Kluyveromyces lactis: one gene and its partner. The protein of the gene in region 1 interacts with the protein of each later gene in a pairwise test. Links are inferred from orthologs where the notes say so. Each region holds a gene or a part of one and is shown on either strand. Other genes may lie near its edges.

What was found. The genes of interacting proteins can lie anywhere in the genome.
Region 2: the proteins of DNA2 (region 1) and RAD27 interact in binary tests that used the Saccharomyces cerevisiae proteins (3 or more experiments, as listed by UniProt). The link is inferred for Kluyveromyces lactis from reciprocal best matches to the Saccharomyces cerevisiae genes DNA2 and RAD27.

What each region holds. Positions count from the first base shown.
Region 1 is NC_006037.1:475,654-482,396, reverse strand, and holds the start of DNA2 (bifunctional ATP-dependent DNA helicase/ssDNA endodeoxyribonuclease DNA2), read right to left. Parts: upstream 4,061-6,743; coding exon 1-4,060. Other genes in the region: KLLA0_A05302g (uncharacterized protein), read right to left, coding at 4,519-5,640; U4/U6-U5 snRNP complex subunit PRP8, read right to left, coding at 6,032-6,743. UniProt on the Saccharomyces cerevisiae protein: Key enzyme involved in DNA replication and DNA repair.
Region 2 is NC_006042.1:276,078-281,498, reverse strand, and holds RAD27 (multifunctional nuclease RAD27), read right to left. Parts: upstream 3,059-5,421; coding exon 1,913-3,058; downstream 1-1,912. Other genes in the region: NIP1 (translation initiation factor eIF3 core subunit c), read left to right, coding at 1-1,344; DNA-binding protein ABF1, read left to right, coding at 3,727-5,211. UniProt on the Saccharomyces cerevisiae protein: Structure-specific nuclease with 5'-flap endonuclease and 5'-3' exonuclease activities involved in DNA replication and repair.

The sequences.
Region 1 (6,743 bases):
ACGACATCTGCGCCTTGTACATAGACATCACACCAATTTGGTCCACCTCGATACCATGTGCAAGTAACTCTCGCACCACTTCATTGACGACGTTGGCTTCGCCAACGTTGCTTAGCTGGCCATGATCATTCTGTTCAACGAACTGCTGGTTACTTGTTGACTGGAAGCCATCATGATCCAATATCACCACAGGTTGTTCGGGATTGATAGCCTTCTGCAGCCATGTGTCCTGTGAGCATTTATAGTTGTTTGGGAATTGTAAGACTTGTCTGCGGATTTCGTCAGTACCACATTGTAACTTTCCTCCGTATATCAACACGTTGGAAAGAGACATGATCTCTGCATTCATACGGTATTGTAATTGTAGTTCAACAACGCTTTGAGGATGCGAATGACACAATTTTTCGAATAACGATTCTTGTAGACCATTGTCACGTGCAAATGAGTTCTTCACTAATGGCGGTAATTGATAATGGTCTCCGACTAATATGAACTTATATCCGAACCTTAATGGACCAATGGCGACAGGTAGCGAAACTTGACTGGCTTCATCTAATATAACATAATCAAAATCACCATTTCGCATTTGTAACCACGGATCATTAATACCGAGACACGTTACACCGACCACTTGTGCTGCATCGATTATTTCCGACAAGTTCTCGTTATCACCATCTAACATCTCTGTTATGCAATATGGTTTGACCAAATCATGGACTCGACGTCCAGATCCCAAACGTACCATCTTAGAGCGAGGGATACGCGAAGTTAGCTTCATTATAATATTATCGACAGCTGAATTGGTGTAGCTTGTCACCATGACAGATTTTCCCTGATTTACCAATATTGAAACTAATTCACAAATAACTGATGTCTTACCAGTTCCAGGCATTCCTAAAATCAAGTTGTAGTCACGGCAGGTGAGCGAACGTTCAATCGCCATTTTCTGGTTTTCATTAAAGCTGTCATTAAGAGTTGGTATTCTGGCCGCATGAGTCGTCCATTTCGGTTCGGAAAGCTCTACAATGAGCCTACGACCCCTGCTGTAACCCCCAAGAGATCTTTTAACAGGAAGCTGTAATTTTTCTCCAGATTTTTGCGGTGAGAATTCAGCTTCAATAAGGACTTCTGGAAGAAAGAGATTTAGAAGGTTGTAACGAGCCAAAGTAAGTCCTGTAGCACTCTCATTTTTATCAATACGATATCGGTGACTATTTGTCAAGCTTTGTTTCTCGTTCAATGGCTCTTTTTGTTTAAGTAAAACACTTCGAACTACTTGTCTCGTATTTCTATCAAAAGAATCACCATGAATATTGTTTGCCAGAATGTTTCTCGCACAATTTATCACAATGAAATCGTTAGCGATTTCAGAGACATGACCAGTTCCAATGGCTAACTGGCCAGAGGTGTCGTTACTGATCATTATATAATCTCCTTTATGGATATCTGACGAGAGCATGCTAGGTGGAGCGCTCTTGAGTTTCTTGGTCTCCTGTTGTTCTGCATTGGAAGTGGCAAATGACCCTTGAATATCGTTTTCGCGGCAGAAAGTGTACAGATATCTCCCGTTTCCCTGATCCTGTACATTCTTTATGGTAAGCTGACTTATGCAATGTCCTGTTTGAGCCTCTCGATCTGTGCCCGACATAAGGAAAGTATCTTTAGTGACACTTGTTATGCTAGTTTCTTCCATCATTAAAAGCCTATCGTACTTGCCGTAAAACGACCGAAAGAGCTCTAGGACCTGTGAGCCTTGTGCTTCAAGATGTCTGGTTAAATCAGTATATTCATGCTTTAGCAATCCTGGCGTTTGTTCTTTGTCACTTAACTTGTTGAGCACCATGCAAGATGTCTTCATGAAACATTGATCGCACTTGGAGTTCTGTATCATTGCGGGTAATTCATGTTGTGGTCCACCCCAATCAGACATCTCTTCATTCATTACTTGTAGGTATGTCGCAAGTTTATTTCTGAGGTTAAGCAGATGCTTTAGCGATATTAAAATTTTGGGTTGTAATGAGAACTCTCTTAGCTTAGTATACAACATCATGTGCAAATTTACAGGGATGTCATATCTATCCTGGAGAAGCAATGTATAAATTAGACCCTGTGCCTCGTGTGCATTAGATTTCCATTTCCCTGTCTTTATCTCCACGGGAGCTAACAACTTTTTACCGTCTGAATCAACATTCGTCTCAACAGTGACATCTATATATCCTTTCAATCCATACTTTGATGACCAAATGTTCTCTTCAATATCAACGATCTGAGAAACAGATAATTTACGTTTATTTTTTGTTCCAATTACTTGAATCCAGGACCTTGAATTGTCCTTAGTGACATAAATGTTCACAAATTCTATGATAAAAGGTAAATGCTCATCTGAAATCGTTTTAATCACTGATTCGACAGATTCTCCACACATATTCACCTCCGTAGTGAATGGTTTTATGACTTTGTCCAGAATTTCGAGAGCTAAGCCTTTTGAGAGAAACTGATTCGGCTCCAACAGCTTCAATTTTAACACTTCCTGGACCAACGCGTGAATAATGTTACCTAAGACAGCTGCAAGCGAGTATTCACCGGGTTCATTAAATTTTGAAGATAAAACGGCACGCCTTTCGCAATCCATGGCAGTCCCAATTGCAGTGGCAGAAAGAAGAACATCCGGATACACGATCAATAAATTATCATTTTCGAGGCCTGTTTTAGGGTCTTTGTCATTTGAAAGAAGCCGTTTATTAGGAAAGTGGTCACCTTCTATTAGGTGAATAATCATTCCTTGCTCGTATCTGAAACGAATCCATGGATCTCTGAGAATTAGGTTAACTTTTCCAGCATCCTGATTGAAGCATGTGAGAATTATTTGCGCTGGTGATTTCATTTCCTTGATTTCAAAAATACATAGTCTTTGACAGCCGCGTTGAGGGAATGGGAATTTAGCCAAGTTAACATACCTTTCAACCACATCGGCTTTGTTATTAAGCAGATGATCGGTTTGATTTTCATTTGATTTTACAGAGTCTTCCACATTTTCATCCTCTGATTCAAGCATAACTTCAATGCGTTCAATTTTTCTCACTTGAAGTTGAGGGAGTGTAGCTGGCTTTTCCTCATCAAGAAGTTCTAATAAGGAAGCATCTGATTCCTCTGATTCTTCATTGCATTCTGTGATGACTGGCTTTGTGAATCTTTGTGTGAGAATATCAATTAACGAATCGTCCTCATCCTCGTCGTCATCTATATTGATCTGAGGAGGATACATTGTGAACGTGCGTTCTATGCCATTAGTTGTAGTATGCTTATGATTTGAAATACTCTCTGATGCCAGCTCCGGAAGATTTTCTACAGGGTCATCGTCTATAACAACTGGTTCCGAGCAAATTGGTGAAGAAGGCGGAAGCAACTTAGGACCTTCTAAGTCGTTTAAAATTTCGTGTATATCTCTCATAGGTGTGACATCCTTTTCTCCTCTTTTTACAGGAGATCCTTGTGCAATTTTCCTGCATTCTTTATCAATGCTGTTGGGATCCATGTTCTCAAAATCAATCACATCTTTAAACTTATCGTTGATCAATGGAGTAGAAGATTGACCTAGAGGCATATCTTGACTTAATTCATCGGAGTTATTATCGTCGTTTCCAGTATTATAATGGTTACATAATTGCTCATCAATTTTCCTAGGAGAGTATCTCCATATTACTTCTTCCGACGGACCATCGCTATACCTCGTTTCTGGCACAGCTTCAGTCGATTTTTCCCTTCTAGTCTTTGTGCTATTGATAATTCTTTTAGATGCAAGCTTTGTTTTGCCACTAGTTTTCGCATTGACAGTATCTTTGACGGAACTTCCAGCTTCCACATTTCGTACTCTTGAGATCGGTATCGATTTCAAAATTGGTTCTTCACTGCTAAGCCGGTTCAGGGGGGCAAAATGGTAAGATTTACTTGGTTTCTTTTTAGGTTTCCCTTTATAATCCACTGAAATAGCATCCGTATCCTTCTTAAATGGCGATATAGAAACACTGGCGGTACGTTTTTTCTTTGGGGTAGAAACCATCGTGTTTCCAGTAAAGAATTCAAAGCCTTATTGCTATTGAGTTTGTACAACAGTATGCTTCTTTTTCTGCTTCTTGAATCCCCACCATTTGGGTTACCACCAATTCACTAATCCTAAAGTTGACTGATTGGCAGTTGGGCTTTTCTCTCTTCGCGTTTGAAGATATTCAAATAGTTCTTCTTATTCGCGATATATTTATGTGTATTGTTTTAATATTTACGTTTTTTAGAGATCAACATTTTCTGATTCCAAACCAAAACATTGCGCATGGCAAAAGGCAATCGCAGGGCTAGGGTACGACTTACATTGGATGTATAGAACCGACACTTTGGTCCTCTCACAAATATTGATGCATTTTCGTGCATTCCTTTATAAATTATATTGTTTGATAAACGTCATGATAATGAACGGAAACGGTGAGTTGATACGTCAGAATTTTACGTACGAACGCGTTAGTATTAAGTATTAGGTTGAGTTCTTTTCGTTAAATTGAGGGATTGATACGGGGTAAAGTGATCTGGTGTAGACTTCTTTAATTTAATGACACTGTCCTGTATGATTGTGGATGGTTCTACTAGGCCGTTACTAGCTTGATTGAGATTGAGTTGATAAGTTTTAGAGTTCGCCATACTGATATGTTGATCCGGACTTTGTAGACGTTTCGGCAGTTCGTTTTCATCATTGACTATATGTTCGTCGTGGTTGCTTTTATCCATAAAAGAATCTCCCAATTCGATGAAATCATCGTTCATTCCTGGAGCGAACTCATCTCGTAACCCAATTGTGGAATAGAAACTTTCAATATCTGAAATCAGTAAATCTTTCTTCTTTTTGAGAGACGCTTCCAGTTCTTTGCTAAACTTCGGTACTCTTTTGTTTGCTGCAGCCTTTAGCTTCAGTAAATTTAGCCTCGTCTTCATGAGTATACGGGATGTCTGCTCATATAATGCCATTCCAAGCTTTTCTTCATTCATTTCTGATGCAATTGAATCGATTGCCGTTAGTTCCCGTTCCTCTGGCAGTGCGAACGACCTATTTTTAGTATTAGAAACATTTGGTGCAGAGGTACTTTGATTAAATTCTGTGGCTTCGGTTTCATTTTGTGATAGCTTTGGTGTCTCTTGCTTTTCAATAGAATTTTGGAAAGCAGTTGGCTTTGTAAGTAAATTCTCTTTAACTGCTATTTTCACATCATTCTCTTCATTTGACGATATGTCACCAGAGTCAATATTAACGGGTAGTCTAAGGGCATTATACATTTTTGATAGAAAGTTGTAATTTGATTTGGAGCCTTTTTGTACTTTGTCAAACGAGTAACCTAATCTCGTTAGTTCCATAATGTACTTAGCTGCGTTCATTTCATGACCAGACATTGGGAGAAATTTAGAAGATTTATCAGAGTTAGATGTTTGATTCGCGTTAGTAGAAGTTGCAGCTATCATATGATCCGTTTTTTTAGGACCTGCTGCGTTGGGCCTGTTATATTTCGGTCCAGAGTTACCTGGTTTAAATCTCAATGGATTCTTTCTTTGTGGTCGTGTTGCTGCAGAGACATTTCTCTTGGTAGTTGTTCGCGCCATTATTATTTCACGGCTTCCTTTATTGAAAGTAACTAGTTTCTTCCAATATGCACCAATAATCACTTTGGTTAAACTGTTTGTTTAACCGTCTCCATCGGAGAGTCGATGTGCAATATCTTCAAGGGACGAAGTTCCTTGTCTACTTTTTAAATATTCAGTATTACCTCTCAGAGAGAAGTCACGTGAAAGTTTGGAAGTCAGATGGAACAAGCACATTATGACTACTTCACTTTTATGATAATATGAAAATCGTAGAGCCTAAAACGCCATTCCAAACCGTCTTATACGGTTGATGTAAGGGCAAATGCAGGTCAGATGCCTAATATAAATGTAAAATGGTTTTAAAAAAATATATAACAATTATAGAGAAATTATCTGTATTCTCCTTCGCTTAAGCGAATAGATTTTCTTGATCCGGTTCTAATTCCTCATCTCCAGCAAGTTCAGAGAATTGTATGAAGTGAGGAGCACGATGGAGTTCATTATAGAACTCTAGTGGGATGTCTAATTTCAATTCGTAAGGTAGATCTTCGCTAAAAGCAGTTCCCATGAAAGCGTAATTCCATATCGATGACGAAGGTACCAAGAAATTGCCCATAATGCGTTCAGATAATAAAATCTGTGCAGTCTCGCTAAATGAAGCTTCAAACCCTTCTGGTGAAGGGTCCGTTATGTCTTTCGATTGTAAGCCCCAGTTGAAACCCGTAGTGCTTAACGTATATCCTGTAATTGATACGGCACCTGGGATTAGATTTATGCACAAATCAACAGCACTTTCGTTATGATCTGAAAACATTTTGGAATGAGTGATCACTTCAGATGGTGACATGAATTTGGAATCGACTTTTTGGGTATGTATCCATCCCAACAGTTCCATGTCGTTGAGATATTTGGAAGATGAGGGGGGAGGAGATATGCGAACAGTTGCGGAACTGCCGAGTTGAGGGACAAGTGCTATCGTCTTAATTTCCTTCACATTAGGGTGATCTTTTACAGGTGACCCGTACATATACCCTGCAATTTGGACATCGACATCAGCTATTGTGACAAACTTCTTCAACAAGTTCCGTGGGAATACGAGGACATCTTTATCTTCTACAAAA
Region 2 (5,421 bases), on another chromosome or scaffold:
TTGGGTTCTATCTTCTCTATGGTTGAAAGATTGGACGATGAATTTAGCAAATCCCTTTTGAACATTGACACTCGTTCCAGTGAATACATGGAACGTTTGAGAGATGAACAATCTATTTACAATTTGATTATCAGATCCCAATTGTACTTTGAACGTGTAACTGCAGAAGAACACCGCGATAGACTTTTGGCCCGTGTCTTCAACAGAAGACTTGAACATATCTACTACAAGTCCGACAAGCTCATCTCTATTATGGAAACCGTTGCATGGAAACAAATTCGTGAAGGAACTGCGTCCCTTGAATCCTCTTTCGTTCGTTTGAATGAATCAGATTCCGCAGATGCCGATTACAACTTCAAGGTCATCTCTGAATTGTCCGATTTCTTAATTAAACAAAAGAGTAACAACGTGTTCAACTACAGAAAAGGTACCTTGTACAAAACATATTATATTGCATTGAACCAAGAATACGCTCCAGCAAAGAAAATAATGCTTTCTTCCGATATTGCTAAATTCATTTCAGGCTCTGATGCAGCATTACAAATTTTGTACAATAGATGTGTTATTCAACTTGGTTTGGCTGCATTTAAGGCTGGTTTAATAAATGAATGTCACCAAGTTTTGAACGGTCTTTGTATTAATCCACATCTAAGAGAAATTTTGGGTCAACAAAGTTTACAAAGAGCTAATGCGAACAGCAATGTCGTGCAGGGTGCCCCTGTTGAACAATTATGTCTTCCTTTCCATCAACACATCAACTTGGATCTAATTGACACCGTCTACATGACATGTTCTTTATTACTTGATGTGCCTCACATGGCAGCTTATTACAGCGGTATTAAGGTCAAGAGAATCCCAGTTTTCCAAAAATCTATCCGCCGTATTCTAGAGAGTTCAGAGAAAGCTATTTTCCATGGTCCTCCAGAAACTCTAAGAGATCACATTCTTTATGCTGCAAAGTCAATGCAAAAGGGTGATTACTTACAATCGATCGAATATTTGAGGAAAATTTCTGTGTGGTCTTTGTTGAGTAAATCTGATGATATCATCAACCAACTAAGTGAAAAGGTTCAAATTGAAACTTTGAAAACTTACATTTTCACTTACAAGAGATTCTACTCTAAAATATCCATTTCTAAATTATCGAAATTGTTTGATCTTGATATCGAAAAGGTTTTGGCTGTAGCACAAAACATCATCAATGATTACGAAGTTAAAGCCAAATTGGATGAAAATAACGAATACATTATCTTCGAAAGAGGCGAAGAAATCACAAAGTTAGAAGAAGTTGCCATCAAGTTAGTTAAAGAAACCAAGTACCACTCTGAACGTTTACGCCAGTAAACATTTTCATTCTTCGTTCAGCAGATAAGGTCAGTTTCTAATTGTAGCACTCACCTTCCATACACATAACAAAATTTGCTCTTCCTTCTTTTGTTCACTTACCGTGCGCATATTAATAGACAGAGTCGTTGGCAAAGAACCTTTGTTTTAGCATTTGCAATAAATACTAGTATTTGTACATTATCGATAATATATAACATAGTTCTCACTGTAGGCAATTACGTAGTTTTTGAAATCAATTAATTGAATTTTGGAGACATATAACATCTCGAACATTGACTCGTAACAATACAGTTTATGCGCTGGTTCATTCTATATATATATGTATATGATACACATTTATGGACAAATGTATGTTATCAGTTGGAATAAACCACTTACCTTGCTAGTTATACATGGTTAGAGGAATATCATCCCATATTTATTTATATTATCGGTTAATGAACGTCTGACGAACTGGAATAATTTTCAGTTCCTTTTTACTATAACTTTTCAATGATTTTGAATTAACTATGTAATTGATGGTAATGTAATGTAAACAGTCTAACCTAAGATAAAACAATAAAACTTAACGTCTCTTGGCAATCTTACCTTTAGCAGCAGCCTTTTTCTTTGCATCCTTTGCCTTTTTAGCAGCGGTTGCTAGCTCTTCCTTAGTTTTCGGTTGAATTTTGAAGAATGAGTCAAGTCTTTTCTGTACGCCGACTTTCAAACCCTTGCGTAATCTTTCAATACCTGATTTAATTCTGTCTTCATTGAACCCTTTTTCTTTAACCATAAATTCAATCAATTCCTCGGCTTTAGGTTCCTCCCATTTCAACGTCACTTCCTCACTTGGAATAACATCTGGTTGCATGAATAAATCACGCGCTTCTTTGAATTGCCAACCTTCAGGGATTTTCCATCTGCCACTACTGATGTCTCCATTTTCGAATTTCTCTACGATGGCTTCCAGGGAACCGTGTTCTTTAATCAATTTCAATGCATTGACAGGGCCTACACCCTTGATTCCTTCACAATAATCACACCCTAGAATGATACCTAAATCAATGAATTGCGTCTGAGTCAAGTCCAAAGTGTTGTAAATCACATCAGTGTCAAATTCTTGGATTGGAAGTTTTCTGGCCTCACTGAAAGTCAAATGTCTCAATAAAACTGGCGTTTGATAGCATAATGTATCCATATCTTCACTGGCAGCTGCAAACACTTTCCCTGATTTAGCAAGCTCTGCACATTGCGCCTCAGCTTCTGCAGGTGCCACAACGTAAGGAATACCCATAAGAGATAACAACTTCTGAGCTTCCTCATTATGCCATGGCAAAACTTTCACGAGTCTTCTTTCATGTTTGATAATTTCTGCCTGTTCCGTGGCTTCTTTCAACTTAGCCTCGGTATCCTCACGTCTCACCTTACGTTTATCCAATTCGTATTTCTTAAGTTCTGGTGGACTTCCATCGAACACATAACATGGTTTTATTCCATGATCAATCATGCGCAACGTACGGTAGAACATACCCATAAGATGCGACGTCGTTTCTCCATCTTCACCAGCGAGCTGAACCCCATCCTGCTGTCTCACAGCAATGAGAAATTGATAAAGAGACATCGAGGCATCGATGGCTACTTTTCTTCCATGGAAATACTTTATATCTCTGCTCTTAATAGCATTCGGTACTTGCTCAGAAATAAGTGTAGCTAAATTTTTGATACCCATGATAACTGGTTTGAAAAAAATACCGGCCTTTTTTACAGAGGCTGTAGTTGTTCAATTATATTCAGAAGTTTGAGGTATACTACCACTTTATTAAAGCTGACAAGACGCGTCCCTTGCTGATGGCCTGTAATTTTTCACTATCCATTATACGTCTCAATGGACGCTGGAGCGAAAAAGCAGAGAGAAGAAAATAATGATAATAATTATAATATATCACGTGACACTCATTTCATAATCACTATCACGTGCAACCATTTATCATTCTTCACTGAAATATGTGTTACCCGGAATCAGCGTACTAATATCCAGGGTAACCTCACCAACGCCTTCAAGTGGGTCAGTCCACATGGAAAAAAAATGAAAAAAAAAAAAATATAACAACGAACGAACAGGATTTGAGATGAAAGTGTCAACAATCACGAAAGGGAAGCCGGCAGGCCCAAGGATTTAGGCGAAAGGTTCATTGTTTCGTCGATTGGTATAAACGAAATAATACCGTAAGAACGTACCTATTCTGTGAAGGCACGGCGGCTAAGTGAGATAGGGCAGAGAGTAAACGGAGCGAGTGCAGTGCACTGGGTGACGAAGAGGATTATTTAAAAGATAACAGAGAGCTTCAGAAAAGGTATACCTTTTTGTGCGTGAATTGGCGAGTTTCGAATCCAGCGATGTCGTTATATGAATACAAGCACCCGATCATCAATAAGGATCTGGCTGCGCCAGATCCTGTGAGTGCGCAGAAACGGTCTTTCCCCACGTTAGAGGCGTGGTACGATGTAATTAACGATTATGAGTTTCAATCGAGATGTCCTATTATTTTGAAGAATTCACATAAGAATAAACATTTCACTTTCGCGTGCCATTTGAAAAGTTGTCCGTTCAAGATTTTGTTGTCGTATCAGGGCGCCAACAATTCTGGTTCGTCTGAGGATGGTTCTCCGCATGGTTTAAGTGGCGATGGTGGTTCTTCGTCGTCTGGTTCGAATCACCATAATGGTCATACGAATTTGGCCGAAGATGGTAGAGCGGAGGATGAGGACGATGATGAGGATGATGATGCGGCTGTGACTGCTGCTATCGCAGCGGCAGTTGCAGCAGTTGCAGACTCTCAGGAGACTATCAAGGGTCCCTTCGTGGTAACCAAGATTGAACCTTATCATAACCATCCGTTGGAATCAAACCTTTCTTTGCAACGGTTTGTCTTGAGTAAAATTCCAAAGATTTTACAAGTTGATCTCAAATTCGACGCTATTCTAGAGTCGTTGTGTAACGATGACGATAATACAGTGGCAAAGTTTAGAGTGGCACAGTACGTGGAAGAATCCGGGATTCTCGATATCATCAAGCAACGGTACGGGTTGACCGAAGCTGAAATGGATAAGAAAATGTTAAGTAACATCGCTAGACGTGTTACCACGTATAAGGCCAGATTCGTCTTGAAAAGAAAGAAGGATGGCGTATACGCAATGCCCACCGCTCATCAATTGACTGGCGGTGACCACCATCAAGTACAACACCATCATCATCCATCGATACCAGCTCACCACCAACACCAACTACCCGAAGGTCAACAACGCGACGTTCAGCATCATCACCAACAGCAACAGCAACAACTACAACACCAGGAACAACACCAATCACATGTTGATAGTGGACATAATGTATATCAGAACAGAATTGGTTCGATCAGTGATAATGATGATTCCGCTATACATAATCTGGATGACACTAACGTACGTGTCGCAGCTGCTGCAGCTGCCGCTGCAGCGGCTCTGCAGTCTAGAGAAAACCACGATACCGAGGATCTGAAACGTACGCTAGAACAAGTGCAAGACGATGAAAGTTTAGACGTCGGTGTACCCGATTCCAAGAGACAGCTCCACAGAAGAGAAAGAGACAGAGTCGCGGAAGCTCTTAAAATGGCTACCAGAGATATCCTGTCAAATCAAAGTGTTGATTCTGACGTGAACGTCGATGTCGATTTAGTCACTGGCCATAAACAATTATCACCTCATGACGACATGGCGGAGCAGCTAAGGTTGTTGTCATCTCATTTGAAGGAAGTTGAAGCCGAGGAAAATGTCTCCGATAATAATCTCAAGAAAGACGATATTCCTGATGAAAATATTCAGCCGGAACTAAGAGGACAATAACCAACAAATTTAATACACCCTCATGACACATTCCTCTCTTTTCATATTTACTGAAAAATTGTAAAATTGTAACTATATATAATATTATCTTATGTGTAACTTTTATGATGGAAAAAAAAAATATATGAACATTAACTGGTTCCTATTCAACGATCTGCAGAAGCTCCACAATTATAATAAAAATTCAGGAACATACATTTAACCAGTTAC